Drosophila melanogaster: one gene and its partner. The protein of the gene in region 1 interacts with the protein of each later gene in a pairwise test. Each region holds a gene or a part of one and is shown in the gene's direction. Other genes may lie near its edges.

Evidence for each region.
Region 2: the proteins of CG8086 (region 1) and CstF50 interact in a two-hybrid assay, tested with the Drosophila melanogaster proteins (one large-scale study listed by BioGRID).

The regions. Positions count from the first base shown.
Region 1 is NT_033779.5:8,247,023-8,257,518, reverse strand, and holds the start of CG8086 (uncharacterized protein), read left to right. Parts: upstream 1-4,552; 5' UTR 4,553-4,667; coding exon 4,668-4,676; intron 4,677-4,743; coding exon 4,744-4,924; intron 4,925-4,985; coding exon 4,986-5,291; intron 5,292-6,193; coding exon 6,194-6,295; intron 6,296-6,551; coding exon 6,552-6,656; intron 6,657-6,837; coding exon 6,838-6,936; intron 6,937-7,018; coding exon 7,019-7,117; intron 7,118-7,188; coding exon 7,189-7,287; intron 7,288-7,390; coding exon 7,391-10,459; intron 10,460-10,496.
Region 2 is NT_033777.3:31,732,056-31,741,223, reverse strand, and holds CstF50 (cleavage stimulation factor 50 kD subunit), read left to right. Parts: upstream 1-4,260; 5' UTR 4,261-4,343; coding exon 4,344-5,279; intron 5,280-5,333; coding exon 5,334-5,672; 3' UTR 5,673-5,721; downstream 5,722-9,168. Other genes in the region: eEF1alpha2 (eukaryotic translation elongation factor 1 alpha 2), read right to left, coding at 55-877; CG11563 (uncharacterized protein), read right to left, coding at 3,325-3,565, 3,624-3,908, 3,985-4,082; ttk (tramtrack), read right to left, coding at 6,728-8,304.

The DNA.
Region 1 (10,496 bases):
CAGCTCTCGAGTGCGGTTCTAGCTAGCTCTCTTCTCTTTCACTGAAACAAACTCAGCTCATAGCGGCCAATCCAATCGGTATAAATAAATCAGCAAAGTGTGTTTTGTTTTGAAAACCTCTAGTAGACTTCAAACGCCAGTCGGCAGACCGACACTCGAAAGCGGCTGTCACTTGAACCCAATCAACGAACGAATCAACGAAATAATAAATCAGCCACGAAACCCAACTACAATAACAACGAATATAGCAATCTCTTTCGGGTGAACAGATGTTTTGAATATCGCCCAAAAATCGCGACTAATCCTGGCAAGGACTGTATGCACTACGCGCTATTAGCACCGCAATAAAGTGAAGTTTTTTACTGTGTAAAAGAAAGTTACGGAAATCACACGATACAACGGAAACAGGACGAGATACCCGAAATCGTAAAGTAGCCTGCGGTAAGGATAAACTGGAGTAGGCGTTAACCAAGTCAGGTGGAGCCCGACCGGAGCAGCCAGTGGGATTGCGTGCTGACCCGACCCCAAAGTTCATTGACTGTCTGTCTGTCTAACTATTGGCATTTCCTGGTGGCATAGGGCTAGGTTTCCCCACCGCCAGTCAGCTGTTCTGCTCCGCCCCCAAATAAATCCACCCAGCTCCTCCCATTGTTTAGTCAATGACACTCGCGTTCCCGTATTGATGTCACTTGTTGGCATAGATGTAACCCTTCCGCGGTTCTTGATACCTTTACTTCACTTGTCCCACGAAGCCCATGACATCAGCTCTAATAACCGGTCGACCCGAGTCAGCAGCTCATTTTTCAAAGTCACTGATTATGGCGCAGGCACAACACAAAAGCGCGTTGGCCAAAAACAAAAAAAAAAAAGATACAAAATAGCGAAGTAACGAATGGTAAAAGGTTAAATAGAAAAGTAAGCTGCTAAGGGGAAATGCAATAATCGCTAAATAAATATTTATAAAATGACCCAAACGGATATTTATGTATCCAAACATGCAAATTGTGTCAGCAGCAGCCAGTGATCTCAGGCTCTAGAATTTGGAAACGGATGTGTGATGGTCCCCCATTAAATTTAGTAATTATCAACAGCTATTTGAAAACATTGGCCTTGTGCCTTGAGAACCAAGTTTCAGTGAGGGTTTGCCAATTTTTCCCGCCTCATTTCCCAGCTTTCTCTTGGTTTTCAAAGCCAAAACACGTTCGCGCTGCAGAGCACCGAGAATGTTGAGAAACTTAATTAGATTTGGACGATCGCAAACTAGTTCACACAGCTGACGTCAGTCGGTCTTGGCGTTTTTATCACAATCACGAGAGTTCAGTTTTGCTTCTTGGCTCTCATGTTTTCATTTACCAGCTCTTTTCGGCCTTTTTGGCCTTTTGCCGGCTGGCTCACTCACTTGTTGTCGTTTTCTGTTTTTGGAAAGGAATTGCTCAACTTGTTCGGCGTTAATTAAACTTTTACAAAAAAAAAGAGGCAATAGTTAATAGAGACAGCACACGAATTATGGCTATTTGGCTGTATGTCTATATATCGCGGAGTCATGGAGTTTCTGCGTGGGTCGATCTGCCGTCTGGAAACCCAATTCCGAACTGGCTTTTTCGGACAACTCAATGTGGGCTAAAGGAAACGTCGGCCGCCGTATTTGGGCGTAAAAGCCCCCAAGTTGGCCGCCTGGAAATTGTCTAAATTTTGGGAATGAGCTCATATTTAATTCGCAGTTTTGGAGAGCGTGAAATGAAGTCGAAAGAACATAAAAACGTTTTCACTGAGTTGAGATGATTGTTGATCATGTCAGAGATACAGATACCTCACAATTAGTAAATAAGGGGGGTATATCGATACATGGTCCATCGATGATTAAAAATGATTATGTGATTAAAAACTGTTGAAATATTTATACAATTTGAAACATTATTTCCATGTTAAGGAATCTATATTAGGCATTCTTTCACTTATTTCGAACCTATGCTATTATATTCAATCAAAACAGATTAGTAAACACAACTTCACTTACAGGGTATTTCAGTTTTATGGCTGAGGCTACCTACAGCTTTTATTTATATTTTTAGAGTGAAAATCACAAATTAAAGCTGACGCGTTGTTTTCGTCACGGGTGCAGAGTCATCGGGTCAACTGTGAGAATATCAATTTAAATCAAACAGAAACACATCATCATAAACAAATCACCGAAGGTCACAGAGATAATGCTAAAATATTTGCTGAAACTCTCTGTAACTAATAATGAATGCCAGTTTTTGTTATTCACAAAATGCAAGCAAATATTTATAGCGAGAAAGAGAGATCGAAAGTCGAGTGTGTGGGGGCGATTTTAATAAACTATATAGTTTAGCCGGTTTATACACTGACCCCCGTGCATAGATTATCGAGCATCACCATCTATAATTTGATTACTGAAATCTGATCGCCACATGCAAATTGATTGCATGAGCCAACGCTCTATTAACGTGATTAAATGCGACCTCCTGAACGGGCGAACCAAACATTATTCAATTGAAGTTGCACTCGGAAAAATAGCACACACTATTTGGTGGTGGCAATAACTTGGCTGATAAATTAAAGTCATATATAAGGCATACATGATTTTGTATTTTGAACCCCTTTTTTAATGGTTTATAGAAAAAAGCGTGACAATCAAATGCAATATCTTATGTTTTGAAATTTTCTGTTCTACTATATGCTTCCAAAATCTTGACAGTTATGCTTTTATGTATAAGATGACTATTATTCAATCACAATTTTCTTTCACAATTAAGCTTAATATATTTTTAGATTTTTAATTGATCTCTTTTCGATGCCATATGTGCATATTAAGACAGATTTCCTTCAATGCGAGCAATGTGGGTGGGTGGCCAAGACTCTTTGTCTGACAGATGTCTGAGTTTGTTGGCTCAGCTGCCGGCTCTGATTCATCGTTAGATTTTCAGTTTTCTTCGCTGATCTTGGCCTCGAACAGCAATTGAACAGGCGGTACGGTGTGTGGGCTTTCCAACCTCATGATGGTGATGTAAGAGTCGCCTTATAAGACCGCCTGATGACTGCCTGCCTTGCGAAGAGAACATTGTTTTTTGTACATAAATACATACATATGTATATGTGAATTGCATGCGAGGTCAGGAGTCATATGTAGCAAGTAACAAGTGCGGCTGGCGGGAAAAGTGAAGCCTTTCTTGGCAGCAGAACGACGGCTTTATTGGCCCTGTTAACAGCCAGGCCACGCCCCCTAACATTGTTTGTAATTATTTACACAGGCTGGCGAATTTTCACGGCCAAAAGAAGTGGCACGCTTCGCATTTCTTTTGGGTCCTGGGTTTGTTTTTGTTTTGGTTCATGCAATTGTCGGCCATAAGTCATTAAAAGTAATCGTTTTGTTGGCTTACATGCCCCACAAAATGGGCAGCATTAGCACTTAGCATACTCCCCTTCGTTTCGTTTCGTTTCGCTTCGATTCGGGACACAACCTTGTTGACCAGACCCCAAATCTCGGCGCCCGTCGAATTCGTATCCGTATCCAAATCCAGCCCCATATCGATTACATGCCCAAATGCCTGGTTCCTGGCGCTAAAAAGGTGGAAAGGTGGAAAGTTGGTAAGGTGGAGCGTGGTTGGAACTCCTGATACCAGCTGGTACCGGTCTGTTTTCCGATGTCTGCCCGCCTGTCGATGGGCAACACTTGGTGTCCCGTGTGCTGAGCTGTGAAAAGAAGGTCGTCACCCAGGGCAGCAGCAGGTTTTGGGGAATACGAATGTTGTTGAGGGGGGCCTCTCATTAAAATATTCATTTTGTCTAGCTCCTAACTAGCTGGAAACACTTTTATTGTGCACTTCTTTTGTTACGACTTAGTGGTAATCATATGTATAATAAAATTGTCTACCGTGGTAACTGCATTAAAATTCATTTGGTTTTCTCTTCGTATTTTATTGTTCCCTTTTTATAGGGAAATTCAATTTAAAGGGTGAAGCTCAATATATGCTAGATATATTTAGGCACCTTTACAAACTTCGATTACATATATAAATTATTGCTCTCTATTCAAAATCAAATACAACTGAAAGGCAAAGACATAATAAGACTGTAATTTAAGTTTCTTAACTTTATTTTGGTTGCACTGCAAACCCCTGCAACTTTTGTGCCTGCCACTGACGCCCAAGAATTACGAGCCTACCGCAAAGTTATTGCCATTGTTTGTATTTCGTGCGGCGCAACAAATTCGCGGCTCGAACAGAAGGAACCTGCAACAAATGCCGAGCAACAGCCACTGCAGAAGAAGGAGAAGAAAAAGAGTGACAGCCGCCACACGACACGCCCCCATCCACTGAATCCATTCGCCCATGGATGGTATGAATATGTGGAGCTACACGCCTGGTTATTAGCCGCCCCATCGGAATTGGCCCAGAAAGTTCGAAACAAATGCCAGACGATTGATTTTTGTGTCATCGACTTGGCTGTTGGAGTAGGACGAAATTTGGATTATTAGGTTACCCAAGTTTGGGGGTCGAAGTATAGATTTCAGTAGTCAGCCTATCACCCACTCACACGTGTAAATGTCAGCGAAGGGAGTTCAGTAAATTTGGTCTTTAACTTTTTTTTTTTACATTGGGGCACAATTTTCAGACTTCGATACTACTAAGCCTAAAAACAGCAAGATGAACAAGGTGGTTTCTTGAAGATCTAAATAACTAATGGATTTCTTAATATTGTTGTTTGTTTTCCCCTTTTTAGGTCGAGTTCAAAAACAAGAACAAGGATCAGGGACCCTGCGCCCGCGTGCGTAAGATTCGTCCAATTAACATGGGCGGCAACGTGGAGCAGCGTCCTTGGACTCCAACTGTTAGGATCGGCAAGATCGCCGCCGAGACCACCAATCCGGGTCCAGCCACTGTCCAACTTCCAACCTTGATAGGTAAGCTTAAGATTGGTTTAATGTTCCTGCAAATATAACTTATTGAAAATCCCACATTTAGGCAGCAAAGTTCCCGACTCCAAGAAGAAGGCCGCACCCTCGTACTCCTTTGGCCACAAGTTGGGCGGAAAGTATGACACCTCCGGACCGGGTCCGGCGCAGTACAATGTTACGGGTATGCGAGCCAAGGGTCGGGATTATCCTCGAGCAGCCACTCTGCAGAGCAGACCCAAGGAACTAACACGCTTCTCGAATCCCGGACCTGGGGAATACGATGTGGTGCCGGCGGCCAAGGCGGTGATCGATGCCACGCCCAAATACACTTTTGGCCAACGGCCGGTCGCGTTGAAAACCTTCCAGATACCAGGTGAGTCTCGGTCTTCTTCCACTGGTGTTTGAATGGTGTTTTTGGACCTGATGTTGGATTTTGGAGTTGGATCTGAAAATTGACTTTGAATTTGGCGTTGAATTCGGTGTTTGTTGCGGGCTGGTGCTGTTTTTTTTTTTTTTTTTGGTTGCATGCGCGGACTGAGGAGATCATCAATCAATTTCAATCATGGATCATCATTGTACATAGAAGCGTACTCATTAACTAATCCGAATCCATGCCAGTTGCATCCTTACTGCAAGCAGCGCGTAAGTTGCTACCGCCCCTTTCTTCCACTTTCTCCCACTTTCTATCTCTATCTCAGTAGCTAGTGTAGTCGTAGCCACATTTCGTAGATTATTCTGCTGTATCTTTGGGTATCCTTGAGATTGAATCGTAGTTATGTCACCTCGTAATGTGCGTGAATGATTTGGCTTATTCTATTCTATTATTTTTGGTACATTAATTAAAAAGTATTTAATTATAATGTTGGGCATTATTATTATTTATTCGATTTGTTCATATCTCGTTCTCTAAACTTTCTTTGTTTCCCTAAAAAAAAGCTACAAATTTACGTAGGAGGAATTGGCAATGTCTTTATACGGTCATCTATTTTGTGAAAGATTGTCTACAACTTGGCTCAGTTATTTTTATTTATGAGTCAAACGGAAACGGAGATCAGATGTCTTAATTTCTCATAAATATTTCTATTTAAGATTATACATATTCTCTAATTCTCATTTATTATTTCCTAGCTACACAGTGTTCTTTGTATATGTGTTACTTTAGTGGTTCAGTAATTTGTGTGACCTCTTTTTTTTTGTTATGTTGCCTGATTTGATTTTAATTTGAAACGTTTTTCTCTTTCAATGAATGATTGCCGTGGCAAAATCGAGACTCAGGTCCCAACTATTATCAAGTGGTGCCACTTGATGTCGTCAAGCGGCGAGCCCCACGCTACTCCTTTCGCATTAAGGTTAACGTGTATTTGGTTAACAATCCAGGTAACCCAACTAACTGTCCAAACTTCGTCCACGTTGCGTTTTAGTGTTGGTGTTGGTCTAGCTCCGCTCTCTAACTTCTAACCCGATCAATTAATCCCCAACTCATCACTAATTCCCGAAATAATGTATCTTTCTATCCGTATATACATATCTATCTATTTGTAATTCACCCACACTTAGTCGTAGCTCACCTAGTGTAGACCTTTAGTTTTGATTCGAGTAGACTAAAAATCGAATGTTTTATTAACACTAACAGCTCCGAATAGCTATTGCCCTGAAAAGGTCACGCAATCAAAAAAGAATGCGCCACGCTACACTTTCGGTAGACGAACTAAAATCGAACACGATCAGGGCACACCAGGTAATAAATCCCAGCCTCCCCCCCAAGTAACTGTATCTGCATCTGTAATTGTATCCGTATCTACCCCAATCGAGGCACCACTTGCTCAAGCGTACCCAATTGGACAGTATCTATAGCGCTTTCCTTTTCTATTCCCGTGACTTTTGGCCAACTTAATACTGATATCCCATCCCATCCGCAGCTCCTGGCGCATATTGTCCAGAGAAGGTGAAGCTCAACAAGACGCCAGAGTTCAGTTTCGGCATCAAGCACCATGAACAGCGACCAGATTACACTCCAGGTTTGTAAACAGTATGCCTTGTAGGTTTGAGCCACGTTAATATAGCTGCTTGATGCTTTCACCACGACGACACTTTCATTAGCGCCAGGCACCTACAAGCCCGAGCAGGTTGTCCTCGAACACATTCCCGCCTACAGCTTTGGCTTGAAGACCAAACACATCCAGGTCAGCGATACTCCAGGTAAGGCTTCCCGCTCAGCTGGGCTGTAGTAACTTGGCTTATAGCGCACACTTTTATGTCCTTATGACCAGCACCCGGTGCCTACAGCCCCGAAAAGTCAAGGTTGCACTCCGCACCCGCTTACTCAATCGCCGGAAAGGCTTCGCAGGACGTGGTCGATTGCACACCTGGTGAGTTCTAGAATCGCATTTCAATGGATCTTAGTCTTAGCGTGCGACCCGCACACCAAAACCCAACTCTTTTTACACCTTATCTTCACCCAATCTCTTGCAGCACCCGGAGCATACGAACCCGAGAAGTGCGTCCTGAGCAGGACGCCTGCCTTCAGCTTTGGCCACCGTGCCGAGCTGGCCAAGTCGAGTGACACGCCAGCGCCGGGCACCTACAATCCGGAGAAGGTGCGGCTGGACCACACGCCCGCATTCACCCTGTCCGGACGCCCAGAGACGAGGTCCGTGAGCGAGACTCCGGCGCCCGGTTCGTATGCCCCGGAAAAGTATCGCAACGATCGAACGCCGGCCTTCACCTTCGGCGGTAAGCACGAGCAGCGACTCGAGAGCTCCACTCCGGCACCGGGCGACTACTGTCCCGAAAAAGTGCGGCACGATCACAATCCCGCTTTCTCATTCGCCGGTCGCCACGATCTGCACAAGCCAAGCGACACACCAGCACCGGGAGCCTACGACACCGAGAAAGTCCGGCAAGATCACAATCCGGCCTTCTCCTTTGCCGGGCGCCACGATCTGCACAAACCCAGTGAAACACCCGCTCCGGGCGCCTACTCCCCGGAGAAGGTGCGACAAGATCACAATCCTGCCTTCTCGATGGCCGGGAAACACAGTCAAAAGGTGACCAGCGATAGCCCGGCTCCTGGGGACTATTGTCCCGAGAAGGTCCGCTTGGATCACACTCCCGCCTACAGTTTTGGCGTTAAGAGTGATCCTAAAGTAGAGAATAACACTCCGGCCCCGGGTGATTATCATCCCGAAAAAGTTAGGCAGGATCACAATCCCGCATATTCGTTTGCCGGTCGTCACGACCTTCAGAAACCAGACAACACTCCCGCTCCTGGAGCCTACTTCCCGGAGAAAGTGAGACTGGACCACAATCCAGCTTTCTCAATGGCCGGCAAGTATGATGCCAAGGTTACCAACGATACACCTGCTCCTGGTGATTATAGCCCCGAGAAAGTTAGGCAAGATACTAATCCAGCGTACTCCTTTGCTGGCCGCCATGATCTCCACAAGCCAAGCGAGACTCCCGCTCCAGGTGCTTACTCGCCGGAGAAAGTGAGATTAGATCACAATCCAGCTTTCACGATGGCTGGCAAGCACGATCAGAAGATTTTAAATGGCACTCCGGCACCAGGAGACTATAGTCCCGAAAAGTGCAGATTAGACCACACACCTGCTTACAGTTTTGGGGGAAAGAATGATCCTAAAGTAGAGAATAACACTCCGGCACCAGGAGATTACCATCCGGAGAAGGTGAGGTTGGACCACAATCCAGCGTACTCCTTTGCCGGTCGTCACGACCTTCAAAAGCCAAGTGATACTCCTGCTCCAGGAGCCTACTCTCCCGAGAAGGTACGTCAAGATCATAACCCAGCATTTTCAATGGCAGGCAAGCCAGTTGAAAAGCTAACTAATGGTACTCCCGCTCCCGGAGACTACAGCCCGGAGAAAGTACGCTTAAATCATACTCCAGCCTACACTTTCGGTGGCAAAAACGATCCGAAAGTAGAGAACAATACTCCCGCTCCTGGGGATTATCATCCCGAAAAGGTCAGGCAAGATCATAATCCAGCTTTCTCCTTTGCTGGTCGTCATGATCTTCACAAACCGAATGATACTCCCGCCCCTGGTGCCTATTGTCCGGAAAAGGTCCGTCAGGATCATAATCCTGCCTTCTCAATGGCGGGTAAGTACACCCAAAAGGTAGCCAACGACACTCCAGCTCCGGGCGATTACAGTCCGGAAAAGGTGCGTCTAGATCACACACCTGCCTATACTTTTGGGGGAAAGAACGATCCCAAAGTTGAGAGCAACACCCCAGCTCCAGGTGATTATCATCCCGAGAAAGTTAGGCAAGATCATAACCCAGCATTCTCTTTCGCTGGCCGTCATAATCTTCAAAAACCTAGCGACACTCCAGCACCTGGAGCCTATTCTCCTGAAAAAGTCAGACAGGATCATAATCCTGCCTTCACAATGGCCGGAAAGCATGACCCTAAGGTTTCCAATGATACTCCTGCCCCTGGCGACTACAGTCCCGAAAAGGTCCGTCTAGATTACACACCATCCTTTACCTTTGCTGGTAAAAACAATCCTAAAGTAGAAAACGATACCCCAGCTCCAGGTGACTATCATCCCGAGAAAGTTAGACAAGATCACAATCCCGCCTTCTCCTTCGCCGGTCGTCACGATCTTCATAAGCCCAGCGACACTCCTGCTCCAGGAGCATACTCACCGGAGAAGGTGAGGCAAGATCACAATCCCGCATTCTCAATGGCTGGTAAATACATTGAGAAGATTACCAATGGCACCCCAGCTCCTGGTGACTACTGTCCCGAAAAGGTTCGCTTAGATCACACTCCAGCTTTTACATTTGGGGGCAAGAATGATCCCAAGGTGGAGAACAATACACCGGCACCAGGAGATTATCACCCTGAAAAGGTTAGGCAAGATCATGTTCCCGCATTTTCCTTTGCCGGCCGTCATGATCTCCACAAGCCCAATGAGACTCCTGCCCCCGGAGCTTACTCCCCCGAGAAAGTTAGGCAGGACCATAATCCTGCTTTTACAATGGCCGGCAAGCATGATCCAAAGGTAACCCATGACACTCCAGCTCCCGGGGATTACCATCCCGAGAAAGTTAGGCTAGATCACAATCCCGCCTTCTCCTTCGCCGGTCGCCATGACCTGCATAAGCCCAGCGAAACGCCCGCACCCGGAGACTACTTCCCGGAGAAGGTCAGGCAGGACTTCAATCCGGCGTTCACCTTCGCCGGCAAACACGATCCGAGATCACTGAGTGAATCCCCCGCTCCCGGCGACTACAGCCCCGAAAAGGTGCGACTGGACCATGCACCCGCTTTCAGCTTTGGCGGCAAGCACGACCCCAAGACGGAGCACCTTCATCCCGCGCCATGCGACTACGCCCCCGAGAAAGTTCGTCTCGACCATACACCCGCCTACACCATTGCAGGTCGTCCAGCCGCCGATCACGTGAGCCAGACGCCGGCACCCTGCGATTACCATCCGGAGCAGTGCCAGGTGGACAGCACACCAGCGTTCACCTTCGGCATGCGACTGGGAAGGGAGCGCATATCCGATACGCCAGGCAAGTAACTTCCAAAAGGAAGCCGCATTAGGATTAG
Region 2 (9,168 bases), on another chromosome or scaffold:
GTGCCCAAAGAGAAAAGAGGGCCCACACCCGACCTCATCAACCCGGAGCCTTACCTGGCTTGAGGAGACCAGTCTCCACACGACCTACTGGTACGGTTCCGATGCCTCCGATCTTGTAGACGTCCTGGAGCGGCAGGCGCAGCGGCTTGTCGGTGGGACGCTGGGGTGGAAGGATCGCGTCCAGCGCGTCGATCAAGCACTTGCCCTCTGCCTTGCCTTCCTTGCGCTCCACGGACCATCCCTTGAACCAGGGCATCTTCTCGGACGGCTCCAGCATATTGTCGCCGTGCCATCCGGAGATGGGCACGAAGGCCACCGAGGCCGGATTGTAGCCGATCTTCTTGATGTACGAGGACACCTCCTTCTTGATCTCCTCGTAGCGGGCCTCGCTGTACGGCGGCTCAGTGGAGTCCATCTTGTTGACGCCCACAATAAGCTGCTTCACGCCCAGCGTGAATGCCAGAAGGGCGTGCTCGCGGGTCTGGCCGTTCTTCGAGATCCCGGCCTCGAACTCTCCAGTTCCGGCGGCGACGATCAGCACCGCACAATCGGCCTGAGAGGTACCGGTAATCATGTTCTTGATGAAATCCCTGTGACCAGGGGCATCGATGATGGTCACATAGTACTTGGACGTCTCGAACTTCCATAGGGCAATGTCGATGGTGATGCCCCGCTCCCGCTCTGCCTTCAGCTTGTCCAGTACCCAGGCGTACTTAAAGGAGCCTTTTCCCATTTCCTGGGCCTCCTTCTCGAACTTCTCAATCGTACGCTTGTCGATGCCGCCGCATTTGTAGATCAAGTGGCCGGTGGTCGTCGACTTGCCGGAGTCCACATGGCCAATGACCACAATGTTAATATGGATCTTCTCCTTGCCCATCCTTGCAGATTAAGCTATTTTTTAGAGCTGCTGGGAGACAGAAGGGATGCAGGTATTCGGATGAGCAAAGTGGGTGGTTTCCGTACTCGGGGAGGTAGCATGCCAATGTGGGTCTGAACTTAATGGGTGGTGCAGACGAGTGACGTCTGTATGCTGTGGGTCGTGTCATCGTGGTGTAGACACCAAAAGCACACTTCATACGGACAGGCACAAACGTACACCAGGGAAAACCATTGAACTTTTATATTTCGAAAATACGAATTTTAAACAATTCAAGAGTAAACACGAAAATCACGCGAAAAGTTTACCAATTAGTTCAAATTAAGCCTTATACTGAATAATAGGAAAAATATAAATACACATGTATGTTTTTACGGACTCTTATGGACACTAATGTGTACGATTGAGAAATACACCCATATTCCCATAATATTTTTGCCCACAAATGTATGCAGCAAGAATTTACAAGCAGAAAAACTCACCTGTTTTCACGAGACTTTCTAGAGTTTCTTATTACTCGGCAACGCTGCGCACTTAGAAACTGATCACAAACCCACGCGACGCTATATCCTAGAATTAGAAGGAAATCGTTGTCATAAAAATGGCAGTTTTTAAACTCTATGCGGATCTTCCGTACTCTGCAGCCGGACCACGACCGGGCCAAGTGTCTGTTGGTTAAAGACTGCCGTGTATATCCTCTGCCGAAGTGCACCGGGCGAAAAATCAATAACGAGCCCCAGACAGAAACGAATGGAGCCGAAGTGTGCGTACTGGGAAAATGCACTCTCCTCGGCTGGAGAGGATTAAGCCGAAGAGAAACCCTCGTCGGAAAGCCGGGAAGTGCGGCAGTGCATGGCGAAAATGTGCCGGCCGGCGTTTTTAGTGGGAAAACCAATGAAAATCGCACACCCAAACGGATTTCAATTAAAGCCAAATGTCGAAATGCCGAAATTTGGCAGCTTTCGCAGCACGGTGGAAGAAAATTCAAAGGGAAATGGCCAAAAGCATCGGCATTCGGTGGCGGTCGTGCGGCGAAAATTCCGCGATTCCAAAGGGTGAAAAACTGTAGAGGGAGATGGAGAGAGCGGGAGAGAAAGGGACGGCGAACGGGCGCAGTGCACTTGCTGGTCATGCAGAGAAGGAAGGGAAAGAGACGGCGAGAACTGCAGGGCGTTGTGATTTATTTTCTACCCCAGTGACAGTTTCACTTGCCGATTTTCCTGCATGTTATTTTTAAATCTTTGTATTTGCATCGAAGTGCAAATTGGAAGAAGCAATGGGAATGAAGGGGGAAAGAATATGCAAAAATACTTCGTCAGAGATGCAGGGCAGGAAAATAATCTGCTAACCATGTGTCATCATGCCGCGGATATTTTTTTTTTGCCTGCGAATTCCAATAGAAACTACTCGGGAATAAACGGCTTGAGAACGGGAAGGAGAAACGGGTACAATCCAGGCAAAATCGAACGCGCACACACATGCAGCCGGTCGCCATGTTGGAATTCGAAAGTCTATGCAACTTTATTAATTTACTTGCAATTTAAGGTCGCTGGAAAACCAATTTCCAATTCGAATCGATTTACACAGCTATTATGCAAAAGGAATGAGAAGACCGGCCGGCAGCGCAAATCACTTACACTCTCTCACTTTTCGGAACTTTCTTTACTTTAGAACTTTCTTTAGGTTGGAAAATCGAACCGAAATTCGCCTAATAATGCAGGGTAGGGAATTCTGGGACTTTCCCTTTTTACATTTCCACAACTAATCAATGCCTATTAATATTTTCACAATTTAACGGGAGCTCTGCGTGCACTTACCTCGAAATCACAAAACGGAAAGACCGAAAAAGCAACGATGCTGAGGTGAACGGAGCTGAACTGATTCCGACCTAGAGATGGCACAGGATTCCATGTATGACAAGGGCCTTGGGTTTCCTATTGCATTATGCGGATTTCTTGACTTAAATAAAGTTTCCATCCCTTAAGTATAAAACGTACCAAAATAAAAATAGTAATACAATTTTACTACCATTCATGGAATATTTTATATTCTCTTAAACTGAGTCTTTTGCAGATAAAATAATATAGTACTTTCACGGACTGTCACTAAAAGTATGCACATTCACCACTAATTGCAAAAGACATTGTGCACACTATTCGCTTATGCGTTGAAATAAGACGCAAGCTCCTTCCTTTCTCTCTCTCTCGTCCTGTCGTACGACAGAACAATAGAAAATTTGACAGAACAAAAATGTTAGAAAGGAATTTGAAAAAATACTGTTAATAGTAATGTAATGTAATTAACAGTAATGCTTTAATACGTAGACCTTTTGCGTTCGTCTTTACTTGCCTATTTTATTGTATTAAAAGAATTAAAGTAAGTCTAAACATTACAATTAATAGCATTAGAACCCGAAAACGACTATAATGTACATTGGTCAAGAGCCATTATTTCCATTCACTGTCCGACTCGTATTCCTCCCAGTCCGGTTTCACGCCCACGGGCAACTTCTTCTGCTCCAGGTAAACGTTAAACTGCTCCGGAATCGACATAAATCTGCGAATCTTCAAGCGGAACTGCCGCCACGTCCACTGGCCAAAGTTTTTCCGATCGGCAACCATCGCCTTGTAGTTAAACTTATGTTTGTTAAGAAAGTAGGACAGTTCCTTGACCACGCCCTTGGGTAATCTGTGCAAATACAAAACCTGTATTTTGACAGTTTTCCATTGCAGAATCAATATTTTACCTGAACTCTGGGTCGGCTCGCTCGCTAGCCAGTTGTTCTAGTTCCTGGACTACGTGTCCACGTTTTGGACCCTCCTCTACGACTGGTTTCTTGAGGCCCAATACACGCCGCTCATCCTCGTCCAGCTCCTCCTCCAGAAACCCATTCACAACTCGGGCCGCTAGGAGGCGGTCCTTCTTGTAGCTGGGAATCGCAATGGCCTTGTTGACGTCCTTGGCCAACCCCATTTCACTGAAGTTGGTGCCCACACGCTGGTCCTCCATCCACATCTTTTTCATCCTGGGACTGGTAAGATCATAACAGAAGGTTTTCGTAAACTTGTTGACTCTATTGGCTGTAAGTGCACCAAGATCCAACTTACTCCTTAATTTTTCCGGTGGAACTCCGGGTTTTATTCATCGTCTTGCGGTTTACATTGTAGCGATAACGCTTGCGAGCATGATTCTTGCGGATCTTCATTGTTGAGAGGTTTAATTAATGAATCAAACAATGTTTAAAATCAATTGAGGGGACCAAAACAATTTTAAAACCGCACGTGTTGCAGCTGTTAGGAGTGACCGTGGACCGTAAAATACCGAAACCCTGATTTCAGTATTTCAATACCGCATAGCTAGAGATGACATACCGGCAAGATAAATGTTTTCGATAACGATAACGGCACGGCGTTATCTACAAGATTTTGTTTATATCCGTAGGAAACAAAATATAAATTAAGCCACCATGCGTGATGAGATTTTGGACCCCAGTAACCTAGTGAAGAACCGGGAGATACTCTACCGACTGATGATCAGCCAGCTGATGTACGACGGCCTGGAGAAGTTCGCCATGGAGCTGTCCATGCTGGTGAAGGCGGACCAGTGCGCTCCCAGTGAACGCCTGCTGCACGTAATGATTGCAGGGATGCAGACGCTGAGCGACAAGGACAAAACCAACTCGGATGATGTGCTGCCCGGCATAGACTTGGAATTCGAGCCGGAGGCTTCGGCCTTGGCCCCGGAACCACATTCCTACGAAACCGCGTATGTGACCTCGCACAAGCAGGCCTGTCGCGCCGGCGCCTTCAGTTGCGATGGTTCCCTGGTGGCCACCGGGAGCGTGGATGCCAGCATCAAGATTCTGGACGTGGAGCGGATGCTGGCGAAGTCTGCGCCCGAAGATATCGAGCCGGGCAGGGAACAACAAGGCCATCCAGTGATTCGCACGCTCTATGATCACACTGATGAAGTGTCTTACCTGGAGTTCCATCCCAAGGAGCACATCCTGGCCTCCGCCTCGCGCGATGGCACTGTTAAGTTGTTTGACATTGCCAAGCCTTCGGTAAAGAAGGCCCACAAGGTGTTCACCGACTGCGAGCCGGTGCTGTGCCTGTCTTTTCATCCTACTGGTGACTACGTAGCCATCGGAACGGAACATAACGTCTTGCGGGTCTACGATGTGGCCACCACCCAATGCTTCGTGAGTGCCATTCCCTCGCAGCAGCACAAGGCTGGAGTTACTTGCGTGAAATATTCGCCCACGGGGAAACTCTACGCCACAGGCAGCTATGATGGTGACATCAAAATATGGGATGGGATCAGCGGGCGGTGCATCAACACCATTGCCGAGGCGCATGGCGGAGCGGCAATATGCTCACTGGAGTTTACGCGGAATGGAAAGGTAATGGGACACTATGGGTAGTGGCTGTGCAAGATTTTAACTTATTCATTTTAGTACCTCCTATCTTCCGGTATGGATTCACTGGTTTATCTGTGGGAGCTGTGTACCAGTCGTCCCATTCAGACGTACACGGGCGCTGGAACCACCGGCAAGCAGGAGCACCAGACAGAGGCTGTATTCAACCACACAGAGGATTACGTGCTTTTCCCCGACGAGGCCACCACTTCGCTTTGCTCGTGGAACTCCCGTAACGGCTGCCGCCTGACCCTTAACTCGCTTGGACACAACGGACCTGTCCGCTATATTACGCATTCGCCCAATGGTCCTGCTTTCCTCACCTGCTCCGACGACTTTCGGGCACGTTTCTGGTACCGAAGAGCAAATAATCAGTAAACGGATGAAGCTACACCAATCGAATAAAACTTTAAGGAATAAAATATGTACACGTTCATTATTCAATTATTGTGATTGGCTGTGGGGGTTTTTAAGTGTATCGATTTGTGATTTTATCAGAATTAATGAAATATGTTTCAAACGCTTTTAAAAATAATTAATCAGTAAAATTTTCTTTATTAAAAACTCGTTTGTGGTTTTTCCATGAATAGTTATCCTAAAATCGCAACTATAATTTCTAGTCATTGAGCGCACAAGTCTTAAGTCGTATTTGTTGCGTTAAGTAAACTGTAAAAATCATAATACATAATACCAGATTGGGATTCCGTATAAATATCAGTTGTCTCTTCACTGGAAGTCCGTTTTGTTGTACGCTGGAACATTGATCCAATGCCTTATGACTACACCTAGATCCTAGTTAAGTGGCCTTAGTAGTTAATTAAGTTTACAACATTTCGTGGGGCCGCAGAACAGCGTTGTCGCGTTCCTCCGAAGCCACCAACACGTTTTGAAGATTGCACAATTAGCCAATACATTTGATTCCAACTTGTTGCCAAGGAAATGAACAAAATTATACTACGGACTTTGAGTATTAAACAAAATATAGCTATGTACAACAAAAAATAAAAAACAAAGGTCTATATAAAAAGGTTTAACAAAATCACAAAGAGAAATGAAAAGTTCTAAAGTTGCTTGCCTTACGGATCGTGTGCGGATCCAGTAAGCGGCCAGTCGAATTGTTTATAATTAAAGCCGAAAGTCATTAAAGTTCACTGAACTGCTCAATTGCGTTGCTCAATTGGGCAAAACTTATGTCCTAGGTAAATTAAATACTAGTGTTGCTTAAAAAAGGCGTTCTGGACGGAGCAAGTGTTAGAATTAATATTGCTTACGGGTTTACATTAACTAAAAATCGTTTTGAGTCTGGTGTGTTGCGTTTGAGTGCCACGATTGCTTATGTTGCTATGATGTATTCTACAGTTCAGAGCTCGCTGCTTAAGGTAAACGTTGTTGTGCGTTCGTAGTCCTTCCGTAACTCTGGTCCTTCAAAGTCTTTACGTTGCGGTTTGTGCGGTAGAGGCCAAAGCCAAGGACTTGCCCTCCGCCACAGCGCAGGAAGCGGGCGGGGTGGGCGAGGGCGACGGAGAGATCTGTATCTCATCCTTGATGATTACGTCTTGTTGCAGGCTCAACATGGCGGCTGCTGCTGCTGCTGGATTGGAGGCGTCATAGCCACCATCGCTCAGTTCCGCCTCCTGTTCCGCATCCTGGTCTTCCGCATGCTCCATCTTCACGTCGGGCAGGATAAGCGAACTGTCCCGGCTGTCAAAGGAGGCGTTTTGCTGCTCCAGTTGCTCGGCCAACTGGCGGTGGTAATGATCTTGCTGTTGCTGGTAGATCGTAGCGTGCATATCCCCTGCAGCCGCTGCACTGATCAAGTATTTCAGGGGGCTGAAGGCGCCAATGTCCTTCGGCGGCGTAAAGTTCTCGTGTGTCATCTTGAGGTGGTTCTTCATTTTATCTGGTCGCGAGAACTCTTTGGAGCACACGGGACATGGGAACACCTTGCGATGCTTGCCCTCGTGGTAGAGAAAGGCGTGACGTTGGAAGCTGTACTTGTTCTTGAATGTCTTCTGCATGTTCTCCTTGGCGCACTCGGTACAGCGGTAGACGCCCTCCACGACGCTCGCATACCGGAAGAGATCCAGCCCCCGCACGGACATCTCTGTCAGGTGTTCCGCTTGATCATCCAGCGTCGACTGGGCCTTGCGTCGAACTCTCCGCCGTTGAATCGGACGCTTAGCTCCCTTCTTTCCACTTCTAGGCGCGGGTGGTGGTGCCGTTGCTGTCTCCGCAGCAGGCGAATCTTCCTGCGCAGGTGTGGCTTCCGCCTCGTTGCCCTGGTAACCAGGCAAACCAGCGTTCTCATCAGCCAGCGTGACCATTTCATGATCGGGTTCATCGCTTTTATCCTGCTGATCATTAAGAGACAGCAGCTCCAGGTCGTCATCCATAAACTGGCCAGCACTCGAGGGAGACTCCTGCTGCTGCTGTTGGTAGTAATCGGTGGTGTTCAGCATGGAGTTGTTTGCTGCCATGTGAAGCAGTAGCTGGTGGTGCAGGTTCCCAGTGCTGGCCACCTGAGCAGCCTGCTGCTCGGCGGCATTTGCCAGCGAGTGCAGACCAATGCAGGCGTTGACCTCGTCCTGGTTTTTCTTCGGCATCTCCTTGGACTGTTCCTCGGCATTAAGGGCAGCATTGGGGGTCACTGCCCCCGTGATCCTGGTGGCAGGCGGCACCTCAGGATCCTTGGCTCCACCTCGCAGCTGTTGCTTGAGCAGAGAGTTGCTGTTATTGCTTCCTGTCGCCTGCCGTATCTTCGGCTTGGATTTCGTAGGCGTCTGGGGGGATCCTTGCTGCGCAGGCGTCGTAGTGTTAATGGCGCGTATCTTCAGGCCCAAAATAGTAGGCAGGTGAACCGGGGCGGACTCCCTTTCATCGCTGATCTCCAGCAGGGAAATCGTTTCCGAAGGACCAGTGCTGCTGCCGCCTGGAGCCGTTGCTGAGATTGTCGTCGAAGAGGAGCCGAAGAGCCGCTGGGAGAGCTCTGGAGTGGCCTTAGTAGGAGTAACTGTAATCAAAGATATTTAAAATATGAATTATATTTCCGGACCCATTAAAGACAGTTTAAATAGGAAAGCAGCTCCTTGACTGGAATTTGCCCAATCCCAAACAAATGAATTAAAACAATCAATTTTGTGTTTCAGAACTGATTTTGTTTTGAGTGTTTTTTGCATTGTGTATTTTATTTTTCTTCTGTTGGTCAGTTTTAAACGATAATATAAAGGATCTGCTTGATTAATATTGCGTGTGATTCACTATTTAGTAATTATGTTTAACGTATCGTATGATATATCGTAAAGTGTGTTTCGTAATTAGCTAATTTAAACGGAAACCATGTTACCAACAATTTCCAGACAATTTTCTCATTTTCACATGGAAGTTTGCCTTGCATTACGATTCTTATCTTTCATTTTCTTTGGGCATCAAAGCATGACTCTATATATGTAGCTATATTCCTCGTTCAGGTTTCGAGTTTGGACATTTTTGTTTGAAAGCGAGAAAATTGCTGAAGGTTTATAGTTGTTGAATGCAAAAATATATGTAAATGTATTCATATAAAAAAGTAGACTAAAAATAAAGTAAAATATAGTACAAACAAACACATACAAATAAATATGCATGACCTGTTTGATTGATTGTTTAAAATTAACGCCAAAAGAGATGTTTGGAAGATTGGTTCGATTGGGTGGAAATATATATTTGCGATATTGGTTAGTCGGTGTTTGGGAGACGGCGGCTTACTAACTAAATTGCACTAGCTACCACTAAATAAAGAATTAAAAACAAAATTATTTAATAAGTTAGCGTACGCAGCTTGTTTATTATTTGATTGCGCTTAATTTTGTTTCAATTGGTTTTCTGTACGTTTTTT